3 linked regions of the Rattus norvegicus genome follow. The protein of the gene in region 1 binds, or shares a complex with, the protein of each later gene. Links are inferred from orthologs where the notes say so. Each region holds a gene or a part of one and is shown in the gene's direction. Other genes may lie near its edges. The genes, in order: Tln1, Apbb1ip and Pip5k1c.

Region 1 (3,373 bases):
GCCTGCAGCTGTGGCTGCTGAGAATGAGGAGGTAACCATGGCGGCCACACTGCCTTCTCTCAGGAGATTGCAGTTCATGGTGCTTCTTCCCATGGCAGCCTCAGGGGTGTCCCACACTCCCTTACTCTAGCTAGTCAGACAGAAGGCAGCACACCATCAAGGCTGCTCCATAAAGGGCAAGCAGGCTGTGTGTAGACATAAAGGATTCAAGCCTTCAGTCACAGGGTGAAAGGGACAGCTCAGGATCCAGAGGCTTCTGGGTTCTGCTTCTCCAGCCTCTGTCAACCCTAGTAAGACCTATGGTACCGCTGCTGGGCCGAGAGTCTCCTGGTGCTTCTGTGTGGCAAATCCACACAGCTTGTCCTTGCTTAAGCTCTTGGCTCTCCTCCCAAGAAAGTGAGTGACTGGATCTAAGTAGGACATGCCTAATCCCCAAACCCTCCGTAAACCCAAACAGGCTCTGGTTCAAATACCCAAACACAAGTGCGTCTCCCTCCTCCCCACGGTGCTTAGCACAGTCCTTACCACATGGTGCCTTCTCACTATTGAATGTGTAGGAGGTGACTCCTGCTTGGATATGAAACCAGAAAAGACTGTGTGGGGACTTTTCATAGAGCTCCCTTAGTCTGTGGGACATGGTTCTTTTTAAGCTGTGTTTGTTTATCATTATTAGTGTGTGTGTTTGCAGTGTGTGTGTGAGTGCAGCTGTGCACATGTCATAATGCACGTGTAGAGGTCAGGGGACAACTGGGAAGTCAGTTCTCTCCTTCCACTGTGAGTTCCAGGAACCAAACTCCGGTGGCCAGGCTCACACAAGTGTTTATCCATCCCACTGCTCTAGGTTTTTAAGCATCCTCAGTGGTTCCTCTAGGTGCATTGGAGGCTCCTGAGCACTCTTATAAAATGATCAATGTCCCCTCTGCTATTCACAGATAGGTGCGCATATCAAGCACCGAGTACAGGAGCTGGGCCATGGCTGTTCTGCTCTGGTCACCAAGGCAGGCGCCTTGCAGTGTAGCCCCAGTGATGTCTACACCAAGAAGGAGCTCATAGAGTGCGCCCGCAGAGTATCAGAGAAGGTGACTACTGATCTCCTGGGGCGGCGTGGCTTTCCCATCTCCGTGTACCTCTCCAGCCTGTTTCCTTGTTCTCTCAAGCATAGGCAGCTTTGACTTTCCCTTTCCCTTTGCCTACAGGTCTCCCATGTTCTGGCTGCACTCCAGGCTGGGAATCGTGGTACCCAGGCCTGCATCACAGCAGCCAGTGCTGTGTCTGGTATCATTGCTGACCTTGACACCACCATCATGTTTGCTACTGCTGGCACACTTAACCGTGAGGGTGCCGAAACTTTTGCAGACCACCGGTGAGGAGGGAAGTGCCCAGAGGGAGGCAGGTTGGCATGGGCTGGAAGGTTGGGACTCTGAGGAAAGCTGACTGGTGGGGCCTCCCCAGGGAGGGTATCTTAAAGACAGCAAAGGTTCTTGTGGAGGACACCAAGGTCCTGGTACAAAATGCAGCTGGGAGCCAGGAGAAGTTGGCACAAGCTGCCCAGTCCTCAGTGGCCACCATTACCCGCCTCGCTGATGTAGTCAAGCTTGGTGCAGCCAGCCTAGGAGCTGAGGACCCCGAAACTCAGGTATCTACCTAACATCTCTAATTCTGCCCTAAGCCTCACTTCCTGTTGCCCTTCCCCCCTCACAAAGCAGAGTAACCTCTCCCTCACAGGTGGTGCTGATCAATGCAGTAAAGGACGTAGCCAAGGCCCTGGGAGACCTCATCAGTGCAACGAAGGCTGCAGCGGGCAAAGTTGGGGATGACCCTGCAGTGTGGCAGCTCAAGAACTCTGCTAAGGTTGGAAGCAGTAGGAGCAACAGCAGGAGGAGGGATGGTTAGCGCACTTCCTCCTGCTTCTAAAACATGGTCTCCTCCCCACTCTCTGCTGCCCTCAGGTGATGGTGACTAATGTGACATCGTTGCTCAAGACTGTGAAGGCTGTGGAAGATGAGGCCACCAAAGGCACCCGGGCCCTAGAGGCAACCACAGAGCACATACGTCAGGAACTGGCGGTGAGCACAGCCCGGGGCACTGGGTGATAGACTGTGAGTTGGGCCTCTCCTGCATTCCTCAGCACTCTGCTTGCTTAATACTGTACTTCCCACATGATCCCGTCATGTCTCTGCTGCGCTGCATCCCGGCCAAAAGGCACTACTTAAATTTCAACAGTCTCTCTCCAGTCAGAACCGTGACCAGCACTGCTCTCTATGAGCTTTGATATAGGAATATCTGCAGGGACTTGACCCACAGTGCCTACTCTAGAAAAGCTGTTTGCATCTCACAGAATCAACTAACCAGGACCCCTCGGGGCTCACAGGTTGAACCAGTCTGACCTAGTTCCTCTGTGTACATGCTCTGGTTGTGTAGCTTACTGATCTTTTGGGATTCCTAACAGTTGGGAAGTGGGGGCTGCCTTGGCTCTTTGGCCTGTTTTGGGAGACCCTTTTCCTTCTACTGGGTCACCTCATCCAGCCTCACTGTGAGAATATGTGCCTAGTCTTGCTATAACTTGATATGCCGAATTTGAATTTGGTTGATATCCCTGGGAGGCCCGCCCTCCAGATCTGGAGGAGGGGGAAGTGTAGGGGAGGGACAGGGAGGAGAGGAGGGAGAGGAAACTTCTGTTAAGATGTAATATATGAGAAAAGAAAAAAGAAAAGGAAAAATGCTTTTTGAACACATGGATGTGGAAATTAGACCCTGGCTGTGTTGCCTTCCCATCTTGGACACTGTATAGTCTTTCTTTTTTTCCAACAGGTCTTCTGTTCCCCAGAGCCCCCTGCCAAGACCTCCACCCCTGAAGATTTCATCCGAATGACCAAGGGTATTACTATGGCAACAGCCAAAGCTGTTGCTGCTGGCAATTCCTGTCGGCAGGAAGATGTCATTGCCACAGCCAATCTGAGCCGACGTGCTATTGCAGACATGCTTCGGGCTTGCAAGGTAGAAACGCTGCTGGTGAGGTGGTGAGACCAAGGGGTTCGGGGGCCTGAAGCTCTAAGGCTAATCTGCACTCTGTGGACAGGAAGCAGCTTTCCACCCAGAAGTGGCACCTGATGTGCGGCTTCGAGCCCTACACTTTGGCCGGGAGTGTGCCAATGGCTACCTGGAGCTGCTGGACCACGTGCTGCTGGTAAGGAGGCGCTGCTCCTCATACCCCAACCCAGCCACTCTCACTTCAAACTGTCTGTGGGACCCCACTGTTGTGACGGTCTTCACTCCTCCCACTTACCTCTTCCTCTTCTCTTGTCTTCTTTCCCCTGGCCTCCCCTCTCTACCTTCACCTTCTCATCACTGCTTTTGCTTGTCAGCCGGTGAG
Region 2 (3,645 bases), on another chromosome or scaffold:
CATGTTAGTCACAACACAAATTCTGTTGTAACTCAGGCATCTGTGGTTCTGATACTGAATGACAAGCTCTTCGATTTGGTTTTGCAGATTTCTTTGTTGAGAATGGCACAGGCATCCACAGAATGTCGCATGCTAGCCACCAAGTGCCTGATTCACATTTTAACAATCTGACCTTTAGGTTAATTAATGCAACAAATCCTTTTTGCTATTGGACCACTCTACTTGATTTGATTGATGTTCCCGACATCAAGGTCCTCTTTAGAACGTGATTATTGGAGCAATTACTGATTGCATTACTGATCACTGAGAATTTCTGAGGAAGCTTTCAACACTAGAACACAGTGTGCTGCAGCCATCCAAAAGTGTATGCCGCCATCTCCTGGTCCAACTGGAGAACTACAGCAACAGTCTGAGTACTGGTTGGAATTGTCAGGGAAGAGGAATCTGATAGGGATAATCATACAAACTGACTTCCAGGCCAAGTTGATGCAAATTTGGAGCCAGTAAAGGAAGCAATCCAATTAAAAGAGTCAGCTTTTCTCAGGTGCTAGGAAAGACCACACACAGGAATTCTTTACATTTTCTGATGTTTTATTCCTGTAACATCTTAAAAATATGGTGCTTGTCTTAGTGGCTCAGTATAAACTCAGAAATTCTAGTGGGTCAAGAAACATACAGGGAGCTCTCCAAACATAAATTTTTATCATTTTTAAAAGCAGAAATAATAAATTTTGGAATAAAAATTTTTAGTCCAAAAATTTTTGGACTAAAGTCCTTGCAGTCTGTGTATCTTGTAGAGGGTGGGAGTGGGGGCAAGTCAGGCACAAAGCTTGCAGAGAAACCAGTCCACATGCTTTTCTTCGTATCCCAGCATATTAAAGGCACAGTTCAAATGCTCAGATCACCTTTGATGATAACCTACTTTCCTGAAGGTCAGTGAGTTTGCCGAATGCAAGCGGAAAGGCCTATGCAGCGCCATAGAGAGGGATCGCTGCTTCACTCATTTTCTGCCTGTGGAACCCTGAAGTAGATGGTCCCAGATCTCCTGGTTGTGTAGTAGCACTAATTTATGCTCATGCTAGCAAGACTCGCAAGCTGCTCTACAGAAACACACACACACACACACACGCACGCACACACACACATTTTAGTTGCTACTTTTTATATACAATAAAATGTAATGGAAGTTACAATGACCCATGAAAATTGACATCACACATATTTCAGATCTTAGGTTTGGTTACCAGCCTCTGGCCCAATAGCTTCGACATTTCTGATGCAAGAGTAAATGCCTTGCTTATTTCTTTATTTAAACAATTATTTTGACACCCAGACTGCAGTTCTATTATACGACAGGCACGTTATGCACCCCCAGTCTTCCAAAAAAAAAAGACAGGCAAAGTTCCCATCGATAGAGAGCTCAGTATGTCAGAGCCAAACAGAAACAAAAGCTACAAGCACAGGAGACTCGAGAAACGAGAAACGGAGTTGCAATCTCTCCTTTCTGTCTGCCACATCACTGTTCTCTTGAGAACTCCTGGGGGCCTACATAACCCCTGTACAACATTGTTTATGACCACTTACCGACAGATGGAAGATTCGAATGACACCCTCCCCTGCAGAGTATGTGCCCGTGTGGATGTGAAACCATCATTAGGAAAGAGAGATCGTTGCAAAACTCTGTATTCTTGGTGAAAGAAATGACACCTGGACTAAATTTTGGCATAAATAAAACTCTAATTTTATTAGCACTGGCTTTGTAACATAAAATGCATATTAGGTAATCCCCTTTGTATAATAGAGAAGCAACCTGATTTCCAATGAGGGACAGAAACCTAACAGATATAAAGGGCTTCAGCATTTAAAAGGGGGAGATACAATTATTACTGGCATATTAGAAGTGCTTGTGGTTAGAGCATATAACAGGCTTCATAAATCTGTTCAAAGTTTGGCCTTTTTCTTAATACTGCTAGGGGATGAACCCAGAGCCTCACAGATGCAAGGCAAGTGTGGCCACTGAACTACACCCTCAGCCCTTTTAGTACCTTTTACTTTTGAGACAGGGTCGCTTTAAGATTCTCAAGTAGATCTCAACCTGGTGATCCTCTTTTCTCAGTCTTTTTGGTAGCCCAAGTTGCAGGCTTGTGCTGTGGTGCTGACAGTTTAACAGTTCTTAAAACAGTTCTTAAAAAAAAAAACTGGGTATGCTAATCTATATTCTTGGCTACCAAGAACACTGAGGTGGAAGGATCATGAGTTCAAAGCCAGCCTGGGCTTCAGAACGACATCTCTGCCTCTTCCTGATCCTAAACCTGCTACCAGGTATATTTACCACCATCTCAGGAAATCATACACATTGTTAACGTTTCACTTTAAGTTTTTTTTCCACTTAATAAATTGCATCTATTAATTGCCTTCAAAACTGCTTCTTTGTAGCATCCTCAAATTCAGAAGGAATCTCAGTACATCAAGTACCTTTGCTGTGATGACGCAAGAACTCTCAGCCAGTGGGTTATGGGAATAAGGATCGCCAAGGTGAGTGTGCACTCAGCTTCCTGTGTCCTTAGGTCAGCCAACAAGCCTGTTTACTAGGGCCAGCATCTCACCATTCCTGGGTACAGATGTTATCTGTTTGTTCTTGGTTCCTTTCTCCCCCTCAGTAAGTGGAGTCATAAACTTATTACTACACAAGCACACACCTGTCCAGTGATGTGAGAGTCAGAGTTGACTTTCAAACAAACTGTTCAGACTCACGGGGAGAATTGCAAACACAGTATGCAATTAAGAAACTCAAGACTGGGCCAAAGGTGTGTGTGCCTTAGTGGTGGAGCGCTTTCCTAGCAGGTGTGGGGTCCTGAGTTTGATCCTACCATAGGAAGGGAAAGAAGCAAATTAATTCGATTAAACGGTTACATGGTCAGAATCTTGTGATTGGAATTTGGTGGCTAGCCCTGACCTCTGGTGTGTAGGTGGGAGAATTCACTAATTTTGAAAATCTAGAGAACTTTTTAACATTTGAAAGAGCAACCGATGAAATAAACCCCCCAAATACATGGAGAATAATGGCACCTTTTTCTCTTTCAATGTGGCTCTTGACTTGAGTGCAAAACTTAAAATAAATGGATTCCTTTCTTTCCCCTGTGTTCCCTCCTTAGTACGGGAAAACTCTCTATGATAACTATCAGCGGGCTGTGGCTAGAGCTGGACTCGCCTCTCGGTGGACGAACCTGGGGACTGCCACTACACCAGCTCAGCCTGCTGCAGGTAAAAGCAGAGAAGACATTCACATTCACACACCCACAAAACCCGAGCCTAGGTTTTAACCCACAAAACCCAGTCTCTAGGTTACACCCCCAACAAGACCAGCATCTCCAGGTTATTCCCACAACAAACCTGCACCCCCAGGTTACAAGCCCGCCCCCTGCCTGATAACCACCAATGCAGAGGGGAGCAGAAATTAAGTTCATGATCTGACTCGAAGCACCAGCCAGTTATGTTAAAGTCCACAGTGACTTTCCAATTAGACGCTTGCACACTCACCCCAAACTTGAAGCCTTCTATAAAGCCTTGCCTGGTAGATATTAGGGTGCTCCTTCTCCACCAAACCATCCCATGTGATGGTGGTGTGCTGAGGTTTACAATAAA
Region 3 (4,350 bases), on another chromosome or scaffold:
TATCTATCGGCATTGACTTCCCTGTCTGTACACCTGGCCCCTTGTGACTTCCCAGTTTTAGGTTTTTTTTTTTTTTTTTTCAAACCTTGCTTCTTCTTAATTCGAGCACTCCTGACCTAGTTCCTTTCTGTGATGCCCAAACAGTTCTCAGCTTTTACCAGGTGTCCACATCTCTGGAGGAGCTGGTGGCCCCATCTTAGTTCCTGCAGCAAGAAGCCTTCAGATTCAGGCTTCTAACCTGCTTCCAGAAGGGGCTGATGCTGGGCTCCAGTGACCACACTTTGGAAGCCCTGGCTTTAGTCAAGCTGACTCACTTCTGTCCATGCCACAACCAATGCGCTTTTTGATGCAACTGTCTTAATGGACAGGCAGGGTGGCCATGCCTGGCATCCTAGCAAAGGGGAAGCTAAGGCTGAAATGTCTGTTTCAGAAACACAACAAACGACATATATTACATATATATATATAAAATTTTGCAATACGATGTATGCTTATTTTTATTGATTACTTATGTTGTAAATGACAGTAAAATACACTTCTTTCTTTTTCTTTTTCTTTTTTTTTTTTTGGAGCTGGGGACCGAACCCAGGGCCTTGCGCTTGCTAGGCAAGTGCTCTACCACTGAGCTAAATCCCCAACCCCTAAAATACACTTCTAATATATGTAATAAATTTCTTTTACGCACACACTCGTATAGCCCAGGTTGGTCTCTTTAACTCAATATATAGCTGAGGATAACTCAGACACAGCACTGGGCAGAGGCAGGTGGGTTTCTGAGTTCCTGGAACTCGTGGACCAGGCTAGCCTTGAACTTGGAGATCCATCAGCCTCTGCCTCCCAAGCGATGGGATTAAAATTGTGAGCCATCACCGCCCGGTTGTGGGGGATTTTTTTTGTTTTTGTCTTGTTTTGTTTTTTCGTTTGTTTTTTAAGGAATGGTCCCACTATATAGCACTGGCTAGGCTGGAACTTGCTATGTAGACCAGGCTAGCATTATCTCTAGCCTATAGATTTGCTGCCTCTGCCTTCTGTGTAGTGTCCACCTAGGGTGATCCTGAGCCTCATGTCTAGGCTCTGCCCTTAATATCAGATTGGCTGTAGTAGACTCTAAGCCCCGCCCCATCTCAGTCCCCTTCAGGCGCTCCTACCTCTCGTTTGTTTGAGCTGCTCTGTTCATCCGTCTATGGACGCTTGGAGGCGCTAGTGAGTCGTACTTCACCTTAGCCCCACCCCTGTTCCCTAATTGGTCAGGTTCCTCCCTTTGCTGAAGCCCCTCCCTCCACCCCCATACTGCACGTGAACACAAGTCCTTCCCGCACCGTTCGCTCGAGGGCGCTCGCCACTCTCCTGACTGGGTGCCGCCCTAAGTCCGGTCCTTATATCCGATTGGTTAAGAGCTTCGCGTTGACTCCAGGCTCCGCCCAGACCCCGCCCCCTCCCTCCGCCCTATAGTGCGGGCGGCGCTTGTTGTTCAGCGGCGGCGGCCGAGCTCGGGTGCATCCTCGGGCCCGCCGCCGCCGCCGCTGCCGCCGGAGCGCGCGGCCATGGAGCTAGAGGTGCCGGACGAGGCAGAGAGCGCCGAAGCAGGGGCCGTGACAGCGGAGGCGGCCTGGTCTGCGGAGAGTGGGGCGGCGGCAGGTAAATGCGACCCCCCCGTCGCTGCGATGGGTTCACCCCTCTCCCCCGCCGTGCTGCGTGGGCTCGCCCGCCCGCTTCGCCCTGCGATGCGGCCAGCCGGGTTGATCCATTCTCACGCGCGGCGCGGGGATGCTCGCGCTCTCCCATTGCATGAGCGGGGGAGGGGGCATCTGCGCTCGGGCCGGGGAGACTGCACCGCCCCGCCCGGGGATGCGGGGCTCGCAGCGCTCGGCCAATTTTAGGGTCCTTGGGTGCACGATGGAGCCGCAGGCGGGCGTGGGTGCGGCTCTTTATCCTGGCAGCCTGTGCACGCAGCGAACCTCTTCTAGATGCATGCGGTAGCGGTGAAGCAGTCCTCTGGTTTGGAGGTAGTAGAGGGGACCCGTTTTCGGGCATTCTCTTGCTGTAGGGGATAGAGACAAGTGAGTCATATCTGCCCCTTTGAGTGTGTGGTGAGTGGCTTCTCCACAGTGTGGGGGATGCTGGAGCACCCTCATTCTAATTGGGGGACCCCACTGCGGACCCTGCCTGGCAAGGAAGAGCGAGTATGTCCTCCATGCGACCCCCGTGGCTGGGCTGTCAATCTTGGAACTGTCACCTTCTGGTCCCTCCCTGCTGCATACCACTGATCACCTATTTGTGGGCCTCAATTTACCTCCCTCTAAAATGGGGGCTGGGGAAGAATAAAGAAATGATGTTGAGGTGCCTTCTCTGTCCCGGCTGGGTGAGCAGATGTCCCGTCCCATTAGTCCCCCAAACTCCCAGACCTTTCTCCCTGGACCCTGCCTGCCATGCTACAGTAGCCTGTGGGGCAACCCCGCTTCCTAGTGTCCCCTTCCCTGTCTCGAGCAGTGTCTCTGGGCTTGCATTCTGTAGGCAGGGCTGTCGGTATGCACAGCCGAGAGAGGACAGAATGCTCCCTTCTCCATCGAGGTCATCAGAACTTTCTGGATTCACAGAACTCTAGGCTCCCTTCAGCAGTACTCCATGGCTGGCATCTGCCGTTAGGTCTCTGTGGACTCACATAGGCTTCTAAGGCTCTCCCTAACTGTCCTCATGGAAGACAGGGAGGGGAGGAGGAGCCAGGGATCTAGTGGTCCCCAAACCCAGGTGGTCAGATTCGTTCTCTATGCTGTTGGGAACCCAGTGGTAGCTAATCTGCTTCTTGTCACCAGCTACCTGCCCTTCTGTGCTGCTGTCATCTGGTGTCCCGTGCCATTATGGAGAAATTATACAGGGGACAGCAGGGCCCTTAGTGGCCATAAACCTGATAGCGCCAGGCACTCAGTTCCCAAACATTGTCCCTGTATATGGAATCTTGTTCATCACTGGGGAGATGTGGGGGGCGGTGTTTAACAAGCTAGCTGGAGCAGACAGGATCTGTCACCGATCTCTAGACAAACCTGTGTCTGACCCCCAGGGGCTGTCCCTCCCGGAAGTTCCTTTTCCTGCCTAGAGTCCTGTTAGTCATCCACATAGAATCCCATCGCTGCCTGTGAGACCCACCCTTCAGTGTGGCTCCCTGATGTGCTCCTACCTGTAAACCGGGGAAGCCACCTGGGTCTCCTCTGACCTTGGGTTGAAGCACCAGAGTGCTGGCTGCCTTAAAGGAGTCAGTTGCGTTTATTTACCACCAACTGCATCTATGCCTCCACGTGAATGGGGGGGGGTGTCCAGTGTCAGTATCCCCAGCCTCGTGGGGGGCTGGAGGTCAAAGGCAAGAAGAGCAAGACCTACCCTGCTTCCTAGAAGACCTCCGCTCTGGGTGTCTGTCTCCCTGCAGACCTGGCAGCAGCAGCCTGTTATCTGCTCTGGTGATTTCCACCTATCTGATGGGAAGGAAACCTATCTGTGTGGCGTTTAGAATCCAGTTACGTTTAGTCTTCTTACTCCACGGGCCTGCCCAAAAACCGCCTGTCTCCTGCCTTGCTGCGGCTGCTGGGGCCCTTGCAATTTGTGGGTGCGTGGTATGGCTTGGGGACCCTGGGTACTAGGCGACAGGGCTGGTGACCTGCCTGGGCTCTGGTAAAGTGTTCCTAAGCTTCGCCGCTCCCAACCTGCCACTGCCTCCTCCCCCATCTGAATTGGTGGCGAATTATGTCAGCATTGCTTCTAAAATCACCCCAGAGCCTGCCCACGTCTCCTCCACCCCATGCCTCTGCTGGTCCAGCGTCCTTCGTTTTCCTTCCACCGACTCTCCGGTTCCATAAGGAGCCCGTTAGAAACTGGCTCCAGGCCCTCCCTCTGCCCACACCGCTGCCCCACCCTCTCCTCCCTGTCTGCTGCTCAGTTCTCCATGCCAGCCACAGGAGCCTCTATGTTCCTGCATGGTTCAGCACCAGGGCTCGGGGGGGGGGGGGGGCATTCAACAGGTGCGTGGGGACTGTCAAGGTGTGCCAGGTGGCAAATGCCACAGACCAGTAGGAAGTAGTGACCTTGATGTCAGGGTCAGAGCTGTTGACCTTAGAGACAAAAGGTTCAGTCAGTCTTGCCCTAGGTGTTATCCTGAGATCATGCATTTGGGTGACTGCTGCCTCTGTGTCCCCAGTGGAGAGAGGGTCTGGAGCCCTTCCTTGATTTAGACTGCCGGGGTCAAGATGATGATGTGCGCAAGAACAAGGTAATGCAGGGACTCACTGGTTGCAGCCCCCCTGCTAGGTTTTGTCAATAAAGTTTTATCAGCACATGGGAGTGTTTGCCTATTCAGAGAGC

What was found.
Region 2: the proteins of Tln1 (region 1) and Apbb1ip are in contact, whole or in part, in a crystal structure (PDB 4W8P), measured with the Mus musculus proteins. The link is inferred for Rattus norvegicus from reciprocal best matches to the Homo sapiens genes TLN1 and APBB1IP. Residues at the interface, in NP_035732.2 of Mus musculus: Leu1492, Ala1495, Thr1496, Val1498, Ala1499, Thr1502, Ser1503, Cys1506, Asn1507, Arg1510, Val1526, Ala1529, Lys1530, Ala1533, Asn1534, Thr1536, Ala1537, Val1540, Ile1543, Lys1544, Asp1547; in NP_062329.2 of Mus musculus: Asn5, Ile8, Asp9, Met11, Phe12, Thr14, Leu15, Glu18, Met19, Leu21, Leu22, Ser25.
Region 3: the proteins of Tln1 (region 1) and Pip5k1c are in contact, whole or in part, in a crystal structure (PDB 1Y19), measured with the Mus musculus proteins. The link is inferred for Rattus norvegicus from reciprocal best matches to the Homo sapiens genes TLN1 and PIP5K1C. Residues at the interface, in NP_035732.2 of Mus musculus: Pro209, Val210, Gln211, Leu212, Leu214; in NP_032870.2 of Mus musculus: Pro646, Leu647, His648, Tyr649, Ser650, Ala651.

The regions. Positions count from the first base shown.
Region 1 is NC_086023.1:62,586,408-62,589,780, reverse strand, and holds part of Tln1 (talin-1), read left to right. Parts: coding exon 1-31; intron 32-932; coding exon 933-1,079; intron 1,080-1,196; coding exon 1,197-1,363; intron 1,364-1,452; coding exon 1,453-1,636; intron 1,637-1,725; coding exon 1,726-1,851; intron 1,852-1,949; coding exon 1,950-2,066; intron 2,067-2,811; coding exon 2,812-2,997; intron 2,998-3,079; coding exon 3,080-3,187; intron 3,188-3,373. UniProt on the Homo sapiens protein: High molecular weight cytoskeletal protein concentrated at regions of cell-matrix and cell-cell contacts. Involved in connections of major cytoskeletal structures to the plasma membrane.
Region 2 is NC_086035.1:89,932,379-89,936,023, forward strand, and holds part of Apbb1ip (amyloid beta A4 precursor protein-binding family B member 1-interacting protein), read left to right. Parts: intron 1-2,436; coding exon 2,437-2,535; intron 2,536-3,155; coding exon 3,156-3,264; intron 3,265-3,645. UniProt on the Homo sapiens protein: Appears to function in the signal transduction from Ras activation to actin cytoskeletal remodeling. Suppresses insulin-induced promoter activities through AP1 and SRE. Mediates Rap1-induced adhesion.
Region 3 is NC_086025.1:9,073,850-9,078,199, reverse strand, and holds the start of Pip5k1c (phosphatidylinositol 4-phosphate 5-kinase type-1 gamma), read left to right. Parts: upstream 1-1,483; 5' UTR 1,484-1,544; coding exon 1,545-1,638; intron 1,639-4,350. UniProt on the Homo sapiens protein: Catalyzes the phosphorylation of phosphatidylinositol 4-phosphate (PtdIns(4)P/PI4P) to form phosphatidylinositol 4,5-bisphosphate (PtdIns(4,5)P2/PIP2), a lipid second messenger that regulates several cellular processes such as signal transduction, vesicle trafficking, actin cytoskeleton dynamics, cell adhesion, and cell motility.